Mus musculus: one gene and its partners. The protein of the gene in region 1 purifies or fractionates together with the protein of each later gene. This does not show direct contact. Links are inferred from orthologs where the notes say so. Each region holds a gene or a part of one and is shown on either strand. Other genes may lie near its edges. The genes, in order: Slx4, Pgam5 and Slx4ip.

Region 1 (3,992 bases):
GCTTGTGGCTGATTCCTCACCATAAGGAAAAGCTGACAGTAGATTGTATTATATAGTATTGCTGTAAGGATTAAATGGGCTAAAGATTTGAAAAGCAATTAGCATAGCATTGGGCATATAAGCTTTCAATGAATGTTATGCCCTGCAAATGATTATAAGCTGTGACAGGTGTCACTGTGGCAACCATGTGTGACAACATGGAGTGAGGTGGGGGAAAGAGCCCATGTGAAGGAGTAGGGGAGACGTCTATAAGATTATTGCACTATGTATTTGGAATGAATAGATTTCTGTCATTGGGTTATATAGGGAGGTGTGAGAGTGTGTGTGTGTGTGTATTCTCATCTGTTAGCCAGATGAGAATGTTGGGTATACTATTTTATCACTGTTGGCTTTCTTGAGACAGGGTCTCTCAGGAGCTTGCAAATTTTCAAGTAGTCTGGCCAACCTTCAAGGTTCAACAATACTCCTGTCTCTATCTCCCCTCCCATCCTCAGCACTGGGGCTACAATAGTGCCTCCACACCTGGTTTTGTTTTTTTTTTAAACATGGGTGCTGGCTATCTAAACTCAGGTTCCTGTCCTTTTCAGTAAGCACACTTACCCTTACTCACCAAGCTGTTTCCCCAGACCCAGATTATTCAGTTTTGATTTTGAACTAGAATATACTGTTTGCCCTAATAAACATTCATGCCTGTAAGAGCCAGCCTTTCTCTGCAGGCAGCTTAGAGAGCTCTTATGGACTCAGAATAGAAAAAAGGTGGCCTTTCTGTCTCCTGAATGTACAAGGATATATATATCCTTTTTCTCCTTATTTCAATCATTTTGCAGCATCTGCTGACTGTCCCATAAGCTGATCAGGTGACAGCTGGAGTCCTGAGGCCACTCGAGATAAGCTCCCTGTATTTGGGGAGCATATATCTGTGTGGCAGCTGCTCTTCATATTTTTCTCCAATTTCAGTAAAAACCACGTGTGTGCGTGCTTATGTGGTGTGTGATATGTCTTGTGTGTGATGTGCTCTGCACTGGGACATCCTGTGGAACAAGTGTACTTGTAACCAGACTGTATTTGGAGACTTTCCTCATACCTGACATCCTCTTGTACACCGTGGGAAAAAATGACATAAAATGGCAGTAGCTGTCTAATTATACTTAGATGCTTTTGGTTTTCCACAGATATAAAATTAGATGAACCTACGCCCTTTATCACTGTGGAGATCTTGGAGAATCACCTGATCACAGAGTTCACATGTGTTCTATCTCAGAGGCAGCTGTTGGACAACAAAATGCTCTCTCACTTGTGAAGTTTTTAAACAACTTATTTAGCTACGGGTCCAAATTGAAGGAAGATATAAAAGTCACATGGAGAGGAGGTCAGTACAAAGTCTCCGAGTAAATCAGAGAGAAGAGTTGCTGAGCTGCAGTGAGGTCAGAGGCGTGGGAAGGCCTGAGTGGGCTCACACACGAGTTCCTCATCTGTGGACATGGTTCCAGGTCGGTCCTCACTCCCCTAAAGACAAACCGGAAACCTTAAAACAGGTCAAGTGATGGAGGAGTCAGATGACGATTTCAAAGAACTCTGTGCCAGCTTTTTCCAAAGGGTGAAAAGAAATGGGACCAAAGAAGCATCAGGAGAGAGGACGAGGCAGAAGGCCTCTGGCCACACTCAGAACCGAGGCAAACGGAAAGAAGGCCGCCAAGTTGCCGCCAGGAGCAAAGCTCTTCAAGGCCCTTCAGAGAAGAAACCTCGATTAGGCAGCCAGACCCCTAGGACTACAAAGCAAGGGGCACCCAAGTCTCAAGAAGGGGGCCCAGCTCTCCCTGCGAATGGGAAGGGAGACGTTCTTGCTCCTACCCCAGATCAGCCAGTGTTGTGTGAGAGAGCACAGAGCATTCAGACAGGTAACCAGGCAGGACTCACTGCCAGATTTGGTTCCAGAAAGGAACCAAACTGATCAATGCTGTTGTTAACCAGGGCTCAGAAAATCTACTATGAAAGCAGATAGCTGGGTGTGGTGGTGCACACATCTAGTCCTAGCACTTGGGAGGCAGAAGGAGGGGAATCTCTGGGAGTTTGTGTCAGCTTAGTGTCTACATACTGAGTGTGGGATAGCCATGGCTATGCAGAGAGAGATCCTATCTCAAAAACAAAAAGGCCAGACAGCAAATATTTTGTTGTTGTTACAGTTCACATGTTTATGTTGCAACAACAATTGACTCTCTTTATCTATGCGATTCCAACTCTGTCCGAAGGTAAACATTTGATAAAAGAAATAATTTGTACTTAATATGTCCAGACTTTTTTTCTCGTTTTCATTCCCTAACAACACCTTGTAGCAACTATTTATATAGCTTTTGCTTTATATTGGATATCACATTAATATATAGGTGAATTAAAGTACACTAGGTATGCACAAGTTAAATGTAGATAGGTAGTAATTTTCAGGGGCACCGAGAACTGATCCCCCCTCGATACAAAGGGTCAACTCTTCCTAATGGCAGCTGTGGTGAGGAAGCAGCCCAGGACGATGTGGAGGTGAATGGGGGCCGCCGTGTGCTGATGAAACTTAATTTACAGAAATAAGCCTAGCCCTACAAGCAGTTTGCCCAGTCCTCTGTGTGCTCCCATGAGTGTGTTTAGAGCTTTGTGCTCCATGAGCTTTTTGTCACTGTTTATGTAGTTGACAGTAGTCATGTCAGCATAGAAATAATGGCACCTTTAGTATATGTGTGAATTGATTTTAAGGTAGGTACATTGGAATGGTCCAGCCAGTTTGCTCAGACTGAGGAGGCTCTCAGAGGATGGGCTGACAGCTTCCTCAGCTATCTATATGCTTCATCTAACCCTTCACACAGAACTGAAAACCAGACTTACATGTAAGATGGGCTCTGCCGGCTCCTGCTTTCTGTTTCCTCACTTTCTCTTCCTTACTGTAAAAAACATTTCTAGTGTGGGTGCAGAGTCTTTCATCGATGGTCTTAAAGTCTGACCTCCTGGAGACTGCTGAAGGACTCTACAGCCCTGCCCAGGCATGCTGGCCATTCAGTCTCTCTCTCTGCAGCCGGTGAAAGGCCTCAGTGATTTGCACATGCAAACCTGCACAGTTAGCCTGTAGCTTCCTGGGCTCCTAGATCTCCACTGAAGGCTGTAGGTGTATCTCAGGTTAAAACATGGGTCTAGGAAGAGATAAACACTTGTCATTAGTATTTCTTTATTAATAACATTATTGAGATATTGCTCATTACATAATTTTAAAGTATACAGTTGAGTGTGTTTAGTACATTCAGCATTATGAATCCATCACCACCACTACATAACTCGAGAGCATATTCGTCACCCCCTGCAGAACCCCAAGCTCAGCAGCAGGCACTGCATCCAGTGCCTTCTGCCGTTGTGTGTTTGCATAGCTGCAGTGAGTGGATGAACAGGTCCATGACTAGTAAAGAACTTTTGGAAATTTGAGTCTAAGCTATACAACAAAACCTGTGAATATTTTCTTCCTTGTCAGAGAGTGCTCCCAATGGCAACTCCCAGCCTCTTCCTTCCTGTTTCACGACAACTGGTGTACCAAGTCCCTCCAAACCCAGAGTCTCAGAGCTGGTTCTGCAACGGATGAAGCAGTTCAAGAGAGCAGACCCTGAGCGCCTGAGACACGCCTCAGAAGAATCCCCCCAAAAGACTGCACTGGGAGACGATGTCCCAAGGAGCCCTCCAGAGGAGACAGTGGGAGAAAATGGTACGGTGAGCATGCTCTGCCTTCTAAGATAAGTTACATTGTGTAGGAGAGGCAGTGCAAGAAGCCGCTGCCTTTATTTCTGTATACAGCTTTCTGTCTGCTCTTTACCTCACCACCTCATTGGAGCTAGCCAAAGAATGGAGTGTCCCTATAAAAACTATTTATGTTTTATTTTTAATTCTGTATACATTATGTATCTGTGTGGGTATGTACATGGGAGCATGGCTACCTGTGGAGGCTGGGAGAGGGTCCTGGCTCC
Region 2 (3,963 bases), on another chromosome or scaffold:
CGTCTCATCCAGGCCAGGGGGAGGCTCTCCCTTGGTGGCTCTGCAGAAAACCTGCGATTGATTCAAACGTGCATGAAGGACTGCCAGGATTGGGGCTAAGACCCTTGCCATAACACCCTTTTCTCTTTATATATAAGCCGACTGAAACTCACGTTTCAGTCAGTGTGAAATACAGCCTCTGTATCCTTTTTTTTTTTGGTATGTCAGGCCTTAGAGGGTTTTTGTAAAAAAAATTTAATTTATTTTTATCAATAGTAGGGTAGGCTGAGCTAGGAACACCAAAAGGCTGAGGCTAGAGAGAATAGAGAGCTGAGGTGAAAGAAGGCTGTGGAAAAAACAGATCCTGTTGCTAAGACTTTTAGGGAGCTGTCTAGCCAAAGGACCGCCTTAGCCATTGTGGAAGGCCAAGGGTTCTGAGAATGTCTGAGGTTAGAGGTTCATTCAGGAGCAGTAATATTACCAAATGCCTGCTGCTGTTCATTGTTGCTCAAAGATGAAAATTATAACAGCTGCCAAGTGCTGGGCCGCTTGGTAGTTAAAGCCCAAGCCTGGAGCTGTAAGTCCGTGGGCCTGCCAGTCTAGTCCCTAGGCCTTGGGTACAATGGCCCTGGAAGAGCAGGTGGACACCTTTCCTACACAGAAGGACCCGGTCAATTGGTCAAAAGCAACTAGAGCGGTAAAACTTGGAGGCGCGATGGTAGGTGCCAGGGACTAGGGGTGGGGAATGGAGGGTTGATAGTTGAATGAAGAAGGTTCTTAGGGAAAAAAATGGAAAGAATTCAGGAGGTGAAAGTTGAGAGTATGCATACACTTAAAGATTACAAATGAAAACATAAAAACTTCAAATTGAAGTGCCAAACTTGAGGTTTTTCAATTCATATAAACCCAGTGCCTGCAGGCAGATTTCTGAGTTCGAGGCCAGCCTGGTCTACAGAGTGAGTTCCAGGACAGCCAGGGCTACACTGAGAAACCCTGTCTCGAAAAACCAAAAAAATAAAATAAAATAAATAAATAAACCCCAGTGCCTGATTTCCACCCACTAAAGGGCAGGCATCTGCGCCTGCTACCCTGCGACCACCGGCAGGTGGCGCCCTGGGCCGCGTTTCCTGATTCGTCGGGGGGGGGGGAAGGGGCGGGACTTCCACCAGCCGGAAGCGGAAGTCTGCTCCTGGCGTCCCGCCGTCAGGTCGCGCGATTTGCGGCATGGCTTTCCGGCAGGCGCTTCAGCTGGCGGCCTGTGGTCTGGCCGGTGGCTCGGCCGCTGTTCTCTTCTCGGCGGTCGCGGTAGGGAAGCCGCGAGGTGGCGGGGATGCAGACACGCGCGCGACCGAGCCGCCGGCCTGGACAGGAGCGCGAGCCGGGCGCGGCGTCTGGGACACCAACTGGGACAGGTGCGGGGACGGGAGGTTTGGGCTCGGCCCTGCTTCCTCACCTCCATCCCGGGATGGCGGAGATCGGTGCTCTGAAGGGAAGGGGACGCTGCGTGCTAGTGGGTCTTGAGTTTGTGTGAATCGGTGGCAGTGCCTGGATGGCGCACCTCCCGAAGGTCTTCGCGCCTGGGCCACCCGTCTCTCTGAGGGACCTCTAACCGCCCGGACCCCATACTCGAAGAGTCCTTGTTCAGAGACAGTGCACCAGGTCTTTGTCCCAGGACCACCATCCTCTGTGGGCCTGAAATTCCAAAGGATTAAGTCTTACTCAGAGTCAGGGTCTTGATAGACAGCCAGGTTTGCCTCACAAATTCTCCTCCTGCAGCTTGGGGAAGATTGGGACTGCAAGCATGCTATCCCTTCAGAGGCCAGAGAACCCGTGCGTGAAGTAGAGCCAAGGGTTGGGTTACCCATGGAAGCCGGGTACAGTGGCATGTATAGCGAGTGGCATGCAGCTTTAATCCCAGCACTGGGAGTCAGAGGCAGGCAGAACTCTGAATTCTGGGCTATATAGAAACACCTTGTCTCAAAAAAAAAAAAAAAAAAAAAAGAAAGAAAGAAAAAAGAAATGACCTGATTTTAAATGTTTCATATTTGCTTGCTGTGTCTGCTTACGTGGATGGATTGGTACAGTGGCCTTGTTAGGTGGGGAAGGATGCATGACAGATGGATCAACAAGTGCCGGAAGGGACTAAAAGGGGCATATCCACTTGGTTTCTTTCTGGTATGCCTTCCTCTCTGACAGTCGTCTCCAAATTTTGTCTGGTCCAGCCCCACACACGGCCCTGTAGCTGCAGCAAGACTTTGGCCTGGTCTGTATATGGGACTAACACCCCAGGTTAGCCTGCTCAGATCATGCTTGAGCCGCCACCACCACCCTTTCCAGACCTTCCTCTTCCACCATTGTGTTAATTTGGGCAGCTCTGACTTGTCCTATTCCTGCCTCCTACATTTAACTGAGTAGCTTCAGTTTCTTCGGCTCCTACGTCCACTCCACTAACTACAGTCCTCAACATTGTGATGGCCACTACCCCAGTGACTGCTCAACACTTAAAGTGTGTTTAGTGTGACTTAGAAAAGAGCTCTATTTTTATTTGATTTAAAATTAATTATAGTAATCCCTCTGTATGGTGGGGGATTGGGTCCATGATCCCTGAACATATCAAACTCTGTGGATGTTCATGATAATGAAGTATTTACAGATAACCTAGGCATCTAGCTTATCCTCCTGTATACTTTAAATCATTCCTAGATTATTTATCACACTCAGTACAATAAAATTGCTACCTAAGTAGTTGTTAAAATATATAGCTTGAGGTTTTAAAAAAAAATCACATACAAAAAGGTCTGTTTAGTTCAGATGCAAACTTTTGAGTATTTTTTGATGCCCGGTTGATTGAATATTGAGTGTGGAATCTTGAGCTACGAAAGACCTAAGTATAGTTAGACTTACTTATTCAACCTGGCCTTTTGTGATCCTTCCGCCTCAGCTTTTCCAGAGTGTGAGGAGTCCAGACTTGTACTGTGAGAAAGCACAGCCAAGGTCCTGTGCCTAGTATTTTTAACTTACGTTAGGGATGTTAGTATATGCTCGCTTGTACTCCTCATACTTGGAAGGCTGAAGTAGAATTGTTGTGACGTCAGCCTGAGCTACACTGAGAGGGCCTGTCTTATCACCAGCAGAAGTAGTAAATGAATGAAACAGCCCCAAGACTATTGGAGTCACACAGACAGTACAGTTCTAGGCTCCGCTGCAGTGCAACTATCCACTCTCACATCTCTTGACACTGCTTGCTTATTTGAGGCATCATTGGGTTTCTCCTTTTTTTTTTTTCCCGTCTCATGTGCACGTGTGTGAGATCACATGTGTGTAGGTCTGTGGGAAAGCCCGGGGTAGTTATGGAAATTGTTTCTCAATCATACTTCTGGATTATTGTTTAAGGCATGGCCTCTCAGTCAAACCGAGAACTTGCAACACAAGTAGTCTGACTAGACAGCTTCTTCTAGGGGTCCCGTCTCCACGTTCTGAGGCTGCAATTATAAGTGGGCCATTATACCTACCCAGTATTTATGTGGCTTCTGGACTCTAGTCTTCCTGCTTGTATAACAAGCACTTTAACCTGTGAGCCATCTCTTCACCCAGCCTGTCTTCACCAGGAACATGAACCTGAGGCTTCATGTTATATGCAGGAATAATATATGTATCAACCAGAGCGAGCCTAGCCTTTTCGGGAAGAGTCTGTGAGGCTAGGCTCTCTGGCCTGGGCTTCTCCCCCAGGCCTTTTCCCAAGCACTGAAAGGTGTCTTGGACAAGAGGTCATAAGATAAGACATACTTTTACAATTAGGCGAGAGCCACTGTCACTCATTAACCTGAAGAAAAGGAATGTGGAATCTGGAGAAGACGAGTTGACATCCAGGCTGGATCACTATAAGGCCAAGGCCACAAGGCACATCTTCCTCATCCGGCATTCCCAGTACCATGTGGATGGCTCCCTGGAGAAGGACCGCACCCTGACACCATTAGGTATGAC
Region 3 (4,298 bases), on another chromosome or scaffold:
TAGTCACATCCTGAAGCTACTTTGTTTTTATTGTTGTTGTTTTGTTTAGTTTGTTTGTTTTCCGAGACAGGGTTTCTCTGTGTAGCTCTGACTGTCCTGGAACTCACTGTGTAGACCAGGCTGGCCTCCAACTCAGAAATCCGCCTGCCTCTGCCTCCCAAGTGCTGGGATTAAAGGCGTGCACCACCACCGCCCCGCTCTGAAGCTACTTTGAAAGCTGTCCTTGGGCCAATCCGGTAGCCAGGTGCCTCTGTATCCCCGCCCCCAAATACCCTTGTCCCAACCACTCGCGACCTTTCCGTGCGGGGACGCGGTGAGGCCGCAGGCTGGCTTCTCCACCAGCGGCCTGGCCCCTCTCACCTGCCCACCAGCAGCTGCACCTCTAGGTCAGGCCACCTTCACCACCAGAAACCAGAAATCGCGCTTGCACAGCAACCAACCACGCAGCGGAGCGCCACCACCTTTGCCCTGCGCGGCAAGAAGGCGCATGCGCAACTCTATGCTCACGCGCACCACCCCTCCTTCCCCCGCCCCTCTTCCGGGGTTTGCGTGAAGCTCCCGCAAAGGAAAGCTGCGGCCGTCACCGGAAATCTTACGGGCAGACGTGTATTCTGTCTGTGCGCGCTACCAAAATTGAAAGGTCACATCACATCACATCACAGCACCAAGAAGGTGGCAGAGCGTGCGGCTCTCTGCTCTCTCGAAAGGTATTTGTAGAACGAATGAAGCTGTTACCAGTCCTAGGTGGCGTTTCCTCTGTTCTGACCAATCACAAGGCGCCTTGCCCTGTCACTCAGTTGTCAATTCCCACCTCTCTCAGGACGCCCTAAGCTGTAGAAACTGGCTCCGCCCTGCCGGTCCGAGTGACGTCAGAGAGCGAACATGCGCAGACAGAGCCTGTCGCCATGCAGGAAACTTCCGCCCAGTCTAGGAGCGGGGTTGGCAGAAGTCGGGAGTCTTCAATTCAGTGCCGGATCCGGTTGGTTAATTTCCTTGGCTTTGCCTTTCTTTTTTTTTTCTTCAGAGATAAGTCTTTTATTCTTTTGAACCACCCGAAGCATTATGAAATTATGTTTAAACATATTTTATTTCGCTTTTCTCTGGCACCGTGAAAGGCACCTTTATTTTTCAACGTATCTTTTAATCTTCCTCATTAAAAATATTTTCTACTCTTGCCCTATAGTTTTGTGATACGAAAAACACGGCTTTTGTTGTTGTTGTCCATCAGTACATATCGTTGACGTACAGTGATACATTATCTGCCAATTGTATTTGTGGCTTTTCCAACCTCTTAAAAAAAAAAAAAAAATCCGCTTTGGCCGCCATTTTTATTTTGGTCTCCATAAAGCGTTGATATCATCGACAGAAGCCATTTTTCGTTTGGGCAGTTCTTTCCGGCTATCCCATTACCTTAGCCAGGGCTTCGGGCGCCATCGTAGGTGCTGGCAGTGGCTTCCAACCGAATGAAGTCGATAATGCCATCTTGTGTTTGGGCGCTGGTTGCATTCTCTAACGTGCGAGGGGACGCTGGGAAACGGGAAGTAAGCCAAAGCTGCTGAAGCTTGGTCTGCCGCCTTTTTAGTCTGAGTTTTCCCGTTCAGGTACTATACTAGTCCACCAGTGACCCCGGACAGTAACAAAGCATTACAGCCCGAACCCACCTCCCGCCACCATCGTAGGTAAGAGCGTGTGATACTTCGTTCGGATAACCCAGCTCTTCCCTCAGTTGGACCGAACTGTTTGGCCATCTTATACCAATACGTATTTTTGTTTTGGATTTTGGGACTTAACACAATTTTTCTCTTAGGTATTCCTTCTCTTTCCATTAGAATTGTTAAACACCACTGTTCAGGAAGACTGAGATTTAAAGGGACAATAACGTTGAGGGAATTTCCGTAGAATAACAAAGCAAAATGGATGGAACAGCAAATTTGATCATTAATTGTATGGCTTTCTGCATCTATAGAGGTGAATATAGCTCCCAGAGGACTTTAAAATGTGATCAGCTGTGTTTGTATATTCTTCCCATTCATTCATTCATTCATTGAATTTGTTGAATACTTAGCTAGTTTTGTGCTATAAAATATAGAAGTAAACTTCAAAACAAAACAAAACGAAACCTCCTTTTCATCCACTTGCTTTGATATATCCAAAGCTGGGACCAGGAACATAATGTTCTAATGTTTTTTTTTTTAGCACTGCTGGACAAGCAACTTCATGTTCTCACTTCTCGTATTTCTTGGATACTGTATATAGCCATAATTGTAAGGCTAATAGTCCAGGTAGCATGGCCTTGTTGCTCAGTGTAATCATCGACCAGCCATCCCAGCATCTTCTGGGAGCATGTTTCTTGGAATGAGTAGAAGCTGCACTTGGGCACAGTATAATAGTGACTTGGAAACTTTGGACTGTGGCTTACCTTAGCTTTTTGTAGCACCAGGCTTTCTTCTGTGTCTTCTTGTATGAGAAAAGAAAATCAGTAGTTCTCAACCTTGGCTGCCCATGACAGTCACCTGGGAAGCTTCTAAACCAGACTTCAGACCAGTTGCAGATAGAAATGGAGACTATGTGGAATATAGATGACACTAAGGTATTTGAGACATGGTTTTCATGCTGTTAGGCGTAAGATTGGTTTTCACCTTCCCTCTTGGCTTTACTTAAAATACCATGGAGACAGGGAGGAGTATTAGGTTGGGTGGGTGTTGAACCAATGTCCCAGTGACTGGTTACCTTGTCAACCAGCTTCCCAGTAATTGTTACTTTGCCATATATGTCTTTTCCTTAGTCTAAGTGGGAAAGAAGAATGAACACCATTTGTTTTACTGAGTCTCACATGAATGTTTCCATTGTGGATATTCATGTTTTATGAGTATGTAGGAAAACATTATTACACTGAAATATTGCTTGTTTGCAATTTTTACAGTGCTACTAAGGGTAGTGATGTAGTGTGGATGGGTAAAAAAATCAGTTCTGAAACGTCTTCCCTGACTGTACATCCTACTTCCTTCACCCCAGCTCCATCTCTGAGATCTAAAAGACAGTTACCCACCCTTGTGCTTGAGTTTCCTAACTTGTAAGGTAGGACTCCTGTGAGAGTTAGCTAAGTTAATACAAGCAATGTGCTTCCTAAGTACCTGGCATGGGCTGGAGAGCTGGCCCAGAGTCAAGAGCTGTGTGCTGTTCTAGACAACCTGAGTTTAGTTCCCAGCACCTATGTCAGGCAGTTCACGATTGCCTGTAACTCCAGCTTCTTGGGAACTCAGAGGTGTCTGATGTCTGCGGGTGCCTACACTCACATGTGCAAAGGTGCACACAGTCACACCCCCATGCACATAAATTAAAAAAATTCTTTTAAGAAGTACCTGGCATATACTAGCAGCTATGAAAATATTACCTGTAGCTGTATATTTTATTATATTATAATTACAAGTTTGGATTATTAAGATTTTATTTATACATTCCCATGACTGAAATTCTTTGGCTTTCCACTTTGTGCATCAATTTGAAAAACAAGGTGGTCTAAATACATTACCCAAGGCCAGGAAGATGATTTTTAAATACATTTTTTAAATCAAAAGATCTTCTTTTAAACATAGCCTTATTGAGATGAAGTTGTAGTACAAATAACAGCATTTCTTTAAAATGTACCAGGTGATGTGTTTTACATATATAAACACTGGTGAATCATCATCACAGTCAAATAATGAACATACCTATCACGCTCCAAAGTTTGATCATGTTCCTTGGTAATTCCTCTAGCTACTTTTTTCTAGGCAGCTGCTGACCTATCAGTATAAACAAGCATTTTCTAGATTCTTATTTCAATTGGAATCTCGTACTATGGTTTTTAATTTGAGAGGGAGTATGAGTAATTATTTTGAGAACCATCTTTGTTATATTGATAGCTCATTTCTTTCTTTCTTTTTTTTTTTCTTCCTAGTTAGTTTTTTTTTTTTTTTTCTTTTGTGGTGCTGCAAATTGAAGTCAGGGCTTAGTGCTTGTTAGGCAAGTGCTTTATCACAGAGCTACAGCCACAGACTCTTCAGCCTGTTTGAATCGCTAACTGCTCTCAGTGTGTGGCTATACAGTCATTGTTACAACTCACTAACTGATAACCATTGAGATTTTTGTTTTCAGTGTGCTCATTTTTGCATAACTATGTTCTTCTCCAGATTATTTCAATAGAAAAAAGTTATTAAAAAAGTTATTTAGTGCTGTCTATATACTATGAAAACAGAAGAATATAGTGGTAAAATATTTTGTGTTGGGATTACCTTTCTCTTATATAGTTTATGCCT

The links.
Region 2: the proteins of Slx4 (region 1) and Pgam5 purify together in Homo sapiens (affinity purification with mass spectrometry; 4 studies listed by BioGRID and IntAct, with this or other methods). This does not show direct contact. The link is inferred for Mus musculus from reciprocal best matches to the Homo sapiens genes SLX4 and PGAM5.
Region 3: the proteins of Slx4 (region 1) and Slx4ip purify together in Homo sapiens (affinity purification with mass spectrometry; 6 studies listed by BioGRID and IntAct, with this or other methods). This does not show direct contact. The link is inferred for Mus musculus from reciprocal best matches to the Homo sapiens genes SLX4 and SLX4IP.

The regions. Positions count from the first base shown.
Region 1 is NC_000082.6:3,998,859-4,002,850, reverse strand, and holds the start of Slx4 (structure-specific endonuclease subunit SLX4), read left to right. Parts: upstream 1-1,172; 5' UTR 1,173-1,245; coding exon of another isoform or gene 1,246-1,369; 5' UTR 1,370-1,480; coding exon 1,481-1,490; exon of another isoform or gene 1,491-1,543; coding exon of another isoform or gene 1,544-1,898; exon of another isoform or gene 1,899-2,532; intron 2,533-3,505; coding exon 3,506-3,733; intron 3,734-3,992. UniProt on the Homo sapiens protein: Regulatory subunit that interacts with and increases the activity of different structure-specific endonucleases.
Region 2 is NC_000071.6:110,267,080-110,271,042, reverse strand, and holds the start of Pgam5 (serine/threonine-protein phosphatase PGAM5, mitochondrial), read left to right. Parts: upstream 1-1,143; 5' UTR 1,144-1,203; coding exon 1,204-1,391; intron 1,392-3,777; coding exon 3,778-3,956; intron 3,957-3,963. UniProt on the Homo sapiens protein: Mitochondrial serine/threonine phosphatase that dephosphorylates various substrates and thus plays a role in different biological processes including cellular senescence or mitophagy. Modulates cellular senescence by regulating mitochondrial dynamics.
Region 3 is NC_000068.7:136,890,683-136,894,980, forward strand, and holds the start of Slx4ip (protein SLX4IP), read left to right. Parts: upstream 1-1,485; 5' UTR 1,486-1,679; intron 1,680-4,298.